Macaca mulatta: one gene and its partner. Each later gene encodes a partner of the first gene's protein in a complex. Links are inferred from orthologs where the notes say so. Each region holds a gene or a part of one and is shown on either strand. Other genes may lie near its edges.

The links. The genes of interacting proteins can lie anywhere in the genome.
Region 2: the proteins of RAB11A (region 1) and SH3BP5 are in contact, whole or in part, in a crystal structure (PDB 6IXV), measured with the Homo sapiens proteins. The link is inferred for Macaca mulatta from reciprocal best matches to the Homo sapiens genes RAB11A and SH3BP5. Residues at the interface, in NP_004654.1 of Homo sapiens: Tyr8, Asp9, Tyr10, Leu11, Lys13, Glu35, Phe36, Asn37, Leu38, Glu39, Ser40, Ser42, Thr43, Ile44, Phe48, Lys58, Gln63, Trp65, Tyr73, Ile76, Ala79, Arg82, Gly83; in NP_004835.2 of Homo sapiens: Asp42, Ile45, Gln46, Leu49, Glu50, Asn53, Thr56, Ile59, Asn60, Glu63, Thr64, Glu67, Lys240, Tyr243, Leu247, Leu250, Glu251, Ile253, Ser254, Asp255, Ile257, His258, Arg261.

The regions. Positions count from the first base shown.
Region 1 is NC_133412.1:43,337,748-43,340,324, forward strand, and holds the end of RAB11A (ras-related protein Rab-11A), read left to right. Parts: intron 1-360; coding exon 361-500; 3' UTR 501-2,058; downstream 2,059-2,577. UniProt on the Homo sapiens protein: The small GTPases Rab are key regulators of intracellular membrane trafficking, from the formation of transport vesicles to their fusion with membranes.
Region 2 is NC_133407.1:33,153,831-33,157,976, reverse strand, and holds the start of SH3BP5 (SH3 domain-binding protein 5), read right to left. Parts: upstream 2,929-4,146; 5' UTR 2,751-2,928; coding exon 2,613-2,750; intron 905-2,612; coding exon 842-904; intron 1-841. UniProt on the Homo sapiens protein: Functions as a guanine nucleotide exchange factor (GEF) with specificity for RAB11A and RAB25. Inhibits the auto- and transphosphorylation activity of BTK. Plays a negative regulatory role in BTK-related cytoplasmic signaling in B-cells.

The sequences.
Region 1 (2,577 bases):
GTATTTTTAAAGAGACAGGGTTTCACCATGTTGGTCAGGCTGGTCTTGAAGTACTGACCTCAGGTGATGTGCCTGGCCTGGTTGACCTTTTTAAGGTCTCTTTAAACAGAGATTTATTTGACTGGTGAACCTTTCCCTCTGAAATGGAAAAACCTTTGTTTCTTTTCTTACCCCAAGGGCAATTGTTAAAGGGTTGAACCTAATCAGTGACTGTTTGAAAATAAAACTTTAAATTTATGTATTCTCTGTTCAGTTTCCTTATGGTCTTTGATGCAAATATATCTCCTACCTCTATGGATCTTTTATCCTAACTATGATAGGTTATTCACGCTAAGTATTGTGATTTCTTTTTTCCTTCAGAGATTTACCGCATTGTTTCTCAGAAGCAAATGTCAGACAGACGCGAAAATGACATGTCTCCAAGCAACAATGTGGTTCCTATTCATGTTCCACCAACCACTGAAAACAAGCCAAAGGTGCAGTGCTGTCAGAACATCTAAGGCATTTCTCTTCTCCCCTAGAAGGCTGTGTATAGTCCATTTCCCAGGTCTGAGATTTAAATATATTTGTAATTCTTGTGTCACTTTTGTGTTTTATTACTTCATACTTATGAATTTTTCCATGTCCTAAGTCTTTTGATTTTAGCTTTATAAAATCATCTACTTGTCCCGAATGACTGCAGCTTTTTTTCATGCTATGGCTTCAGTAGCCTTAGTTTAATAAACTGAATGTTTGGATTCCTCAATTATTGTTTACTTTTTATCATGGAAGCCTGTCACTGTACGTAGGACATAATAGAACTTGATCACTTGAAGCTCAGGCCTATTGGTCTTGATCAAATCAAACTAAGACGACCTTAGAAATAAGTTACCATTTTGCCACAGAGCAGCTTATCGGTAATACACTCTTCTTTCAATGCAGTGTATATTTCCACAAATATAAGAATTGCCCTATAAACATAGCAGGATTTTGAGAGCTTGAAAATTTTCCATTATCTGGACATGAATTTCTAAAATGCCTTAATAGGTTTATGTAGTTGAGTAAATTTTGTTTTTTAATTTTTGTAAGCATCAAAGTTGATTAGAGAGGGGGGGCACTTTTTCTGGAGAATTCTCTTAGTAAACACAAGAGATTGTTACGGTTTCATTAGTAGTATGGTTATGGGGCCGTAAGTTAAACAGTGCTGCCTGGCAGGCTGGGAACTGGAGGGACTTGTGGAATTCCATCTCAGGTGCCTCTGTTGCAATGATCAGGCAGCCCAAAAGATTTAAATGATCTATAATAATTTCCAAGCAGTAGATGATGTGGCCTTTTATTGCTCAGGCAATAACTGGTTTAATGCTGGTAGTGTCAAATTTTGAAGTGTTAATTTTGTCTTAAAACCTTCCAGTAAGTGAAATGCAACCTAGTTTTATCACCATATCCACCAGCAGGCATGGATAATTATTTTAACAATGCTAATATTTGAGTTTTGCAGTATATTATGGAATATAGTCCAGTTAAATCTTTGGTTTCAGTATGTCTGAAGAATACAGTGAGAGGTTAATTTTTGCTCAAGTGGTACCACTTAAAGGCATGTATTCTTTTAGTATGTAAAATGAAATAGTACCTTGAGTTTAAATAGAATGCATTTTAGGCATTGTAGAGACCTGAAATAGTACATTGTTGAAATCCATGAAGCAATTAGTTTCTCATTCAGAAATGTGCACACTAATATTTAGTTTTGCTTTCTCGTGGATAATATTAAGCACTTACTCTGCAGTTTCCTGGAAGTGGTGTGTCAACTGCAGTGATACTATTCAGGATGGTGGGAAATCCCCCGAAATATGTATGTGTGGGCTTGCTTAGATTACTATATTTCATAGTTAATCTTTTGTCTCTTGCAGTGCTCATGATGTGTGGGGCACACGGAAGGCATTGCTGTAGTCAGTCATTTTGGTTTTCTTCTATAGCCATTTTATTATTTTAGTGTATTGGTTATGAAGATAATATTATCTGTTTGTAAATTGCTACTTTGTATTTTATGCATGCTCTGTAATTTGATTTTTTTTTTTTTTTTAGTTATTGATTTGGAATATATTCACATTCTAATAAACAGTTATAGGGGGATTATTTCTTATGTTGTCAGATTACATTTTTCCTTTGAGTGCTTTGGATGCAGCCATGGAATCCTGATGTAAAAGCATAGGTTCTTGCATTACTGAGTAAACATTGAATTGGGAGCATCAGTATGTGAATTCAGCTTTGATTTTAGACCTGCAGTTCAATTATGTTTTTCTTGGAAAAAGTATGTCCAAAAACATTAGGAAAGTAGTGTGTACTTTCATATATAACAGAGTCACCAGACCCAGGAAAAGAATCCATCTCTATTTTATTGAAAGTTGGTGGTAAATTTTTTACAAAGTAAGGAGAAAGGAGAAAAACTAAATAGTGAATTGAAAATGAATAAAGTAACTTAGAATTTTTACCCAAGTGTAGACCTAAATGTTGCTTTGGGTATGGTTGGATCTTGGGAGAATTCCAGGAAATATTAGATATTAGAAAATGACTTCAATTGCATTTCAACAGGTGTCTTTG
Region 2 (4,146 bases), on another chromosome or scaffold:
TTCCACTGACTTTTGCTATTTCTCCTGCTACAGAAACAGACTTTGCCAACAGCTCCCTGCACTGGGAAGCTGCGCTGAGAGTCCCTTCCAGGCTCTGACAGTCAATTCAGTCTCCTGAATACATACAGTGGTTGTTCAAATTTGCTGATGGGTGGTAAAAGCAACCACTACTGGAAAGGGGTGGAAACTAATCAGAGGCTGTGATGAATGCTAACTTGTTTACACTCCGGTTGGAAAATGCACATGAAACCTAAATCAAGTTTTAGTCTTCCAAGATTTTTCCCAGTAGGAAAGGCCTTTCCAGTCTAAACAGCTTTTTGTTACCATTATAATTATATTCTATGCACAAGCAGACAATAAAGAAATGAGCAGGAAAGCAGAAGGTGGGGGTGAGTTATTAGGACAGGAAAGTCAAGAAATGGTCGAAGTCAGAGGAAACAACACAACCTTTCCAGGACAAATGGCAGGAACCGCCCTGAACATGTAAGAGATTTTGTGAGCTCATTCATTATTCTTCATTAAAGAGTTCAGCTAATTTTCCTCTCTATCCTTTCAGTCACATGAAAACTTGGGGCTTAGGCGTTGTGTAACGCTCTGCACAGACTTGATTTAGGCCCCATGGAGCTTCCATAATGAAAAACAACATGTGAAATTGGATCCACATGCGTTCCGCCCACAGGTTGAGCTCAGTGGTGTATTTTATTCTGTCAGGGAGCTGTTGCTCAACTCCCAAGGAGGGGGGTCCAGCAATAACCCTCCAGCTATGAAGACAAAATTAACCAGCCTTGTGCCGGTGTGAGTGACATCACTTCACCAAGAACAGGAACTCAGCTCTCTGTACCTCGAGTTCAGTCTCCCGTCTGTTGATATCATCCGTGGACTGATTTAACTTCTCCAGTTCTCCCTGGTGAAGAAAAGAGGGAGAGAAAAAGACTTACGGGATCCGTCTTTTGTTTCCAATATAACTCAGTCCATAACCTGAAAAATTATCCCAGCCCAGTTTGCAGGAAAAGGGAAGAATTGGTATTAATTCTTAAGGCAAACAGTTGAGGCTTAGCTAGAAAAGCAAATGAATGTCAGCATTTCTGAAACCATTTTCTTGAGGGTATCCTTTTTGACAATGTCTTCAGAGACATTTGGAATTTGTCAGAGGTCAAATATTCCAGGTATGTGCCTTCAGGTAAATCCCACCTGTTACAAATGGTTTAATGGCCTCATCAAAACAGCACCATCTGCCTTGAGCAAGAACTTTGCTTAGAAAACAATAAAAGACAATAAGCAAGGCCAGGCCAAAAATATAAACCCAGTGAAATCATCAAGGGCAGAATTCTGGTATTAACTCACCAGAATTATTTTTCTGTAAAGGGTGAAAATCTTTTCACACTGCCAATTATTCAACCTACTTAGCTGGATGTTTTAAACTAGCTTTAATCCCATTCATTTCAATAAACATTTACAAACTGACATTTTGTAAAAAGCATCCAACATGAACTTAACTCATCTTTACTATGCAAACAAAGGATCTTGCTAACATAATCCCATACCAATAACACACGATTTATTCCAAACCAATTATTTTAATTAATAGCATTCCTAATGCAAGGTTTTTTTTTTCCACCTGATCTTTATCTTGCTAACCTGACAAAACAATTCATTTAAACCCTAACCACTGAGTTAAGTGAGCTTTTAAATTGATCTGTGCACTAAAAAACCAATTAGGGATCCAGAAATTACAGAGCATGCTTAAAAGCAATTTTTTAAAAATGATTTACTGAAAAGGTAGAATAAAACGGGTCTTAGAAAGGGATCTGCTCTGCTTTTTGCTTCGGGGTGAAGAGGTTAAACTGTCACTCCTAGATCTCGGCTTGGAAATTGTTTTTTAATCATCTCTCTTGGAAATGGAGGCACAGTCAGCCAGCCCAATCCCCTCGCCGCCTCCACGCGTCAGCTTTGCGCATCAGTTGTCCCTGATTTCTGTTCATGCCCAGCCTCACAACAAGGAAAAGCAGGGTTTTAAGCAATTTCAGGCCAGGCGGAACGTTGAGCCGGTGGTGACAGTAAGACGCTCAGTTCTCTAACAATGAATCAGAGAAGGAAAACGGCTCAGGCCGGGCACCTTGGCAGGTGAGGACTCTGCACCCGGGGCACCAGTGCCAGCCCGCGCTGCAGGGGCGGGCAACGCCCACCCGCCTACGGTGCCCGGCGCCCACGCGGGCGACCCCTCCTCGCAGAGCCTGGAGGCCATGCCTTGCCCGCGGTGCCGTGGTGGCCGGGCGGGGGGTACCCCCGAGGATACCATGGCGCCCCCGCCCCCTTTTTCCCTTTGTTGCACATCCGCCCGAACCACCAGGCACTCTGCGGCGACCCCGATCCTGCTAGGGGTCTGCGGGGGGCTCCCCGCAATAGAGTCAGGCCGCATCCACGCGGGCACTGTAGCCTCCTCATTGTGGAGACGATGAAACAGAGCATACAGATCGTCTCCTGCCACCGTATGTGGCCGCCAGTCCCCAGACCACAGTCACTGGGGGCTGCGAAGTGGATGTACGCGTAGACGCCGACCTCCGCAGCAGCCCTCGCGAAGCCCGGATGCGGGGTGACCCCGCGCGCCCTACCTGGATTCGGGGATCCACCTCTTCTTCCTCCTCCAGCCCCTGCTCCATCCCCTTTTCCTCCTCCTCCTCCTCGTCCCGTGCAGGCGGCAGGAGCTCGGCTGGCTCCTCCGAGCGGCTCCGCTTCAGTGCCGCGTCCATGCGGGCAGTCGCCACGCGCGCCGCGCAGTGGGCTCCGGAGCGCCCTGGAGGTAGCGGCCGCCACAGGCTGGGCTGGAGCCGCCTCGCCACAGCCGGGCACGATCAGGGAGCCGCCGGGGCCGACACCCGGGAGGCACAGCTCGCCGATGCGGATCCCTCTGGCCGCGGCGGAGCAGAGGAAATGGGCGCGGCCGCCCCCTTTCTGCCGCGGCAGTCAGCGCAGCGCCCGCTCCGCCCCCGTCCCGCCCCGGCCGCGCGCTCCTCGGCCAGTCCCAGCTACCCAGGTCTCCGTCACAAAACCCCAGCTCCCTCCACATCTCCAAGGTGGCAAATTAGGAGAGCCCCCACCCCCTTGTAACTTAGCAGCCCGGATATATCTCAACTGCGTAACGCAAGCCTCCCGCTTTCGGGAGTCCCCTTCTCCCGCCCTCCTCCGAAGCGCGTTGTGTGTGGTAGGAGGCGTGGGGTGTTTTCACGCTGAAGTCGCCTTCCGAAGCCTGGGCTTAGTGACCCTGGACCTCAGGACCAAGACTTGCCGAAACCCTGTACCCAAAGGCACATTCCTCCCCTTGAGCGAACCTTGGGAATGGCACCTACTCAAAGATTTCCCCAGAAAAGCAAACTAAAATGTGCGCTTATATAGACACAGGAGTGTAGAGAGGAGAGCCAGCTGCAGCTCCGTGCACGGATGCATCGCCGAAGGCTGCGGCCTCTCTGGGCGAGCCCCGTACCAAACACAGAGGTGCGGCGGTCCTACCTGAATAGCCAGGAAGCATGGAGAATGCATTGAGCTGGGATGCCTGTGGGCAGACACAGCCTTTTTAAGGAGGTGGCAAGTGTAACCCCTGTTGATGGGCACACTCTGGCCAAGAATTTATGAATTAGTGAGACTTCCTGCCCACCATCAACAAGTAGGGAGACAGAGTTGGCCTGGCAGACACAGCATCCGAAAAGACCAAACTGAAGAGGCATGTGTGTGCTTTTATGAAATGTCAGGGCCACTGTGATGTCAGGGGAACCCAAAGGATGACCTTGGCAAAGCAGGTGAGCACATAGCTGCTCACATCTCCTTCCTTTGAGAAATGCAGAACGTGCACATGTTCTACACGGAGGCCTGTAGCCCATCTGCTCTGAGTTTGGTGGACAAATTTGCTTGAGAATGGAGCTTCTTTCTGAGAACCTATCATCAAAACCACCTTACAAAACCTGTGTCTGGCACGACATGGTAGCTCATATCTGTAATCCCAGCTCTTTGAGATGCCAGGATACAAGGATCACTTGAGGACAGGAGTTCAAGACCAGCCTGGGCAATACAGCCAGACACCTTCTCAAATAAATAAATAGTCCTGCTTCTGGTGGTTTTATCAAAAAGTAGGCTAGAGGGTTACTCCTAGGG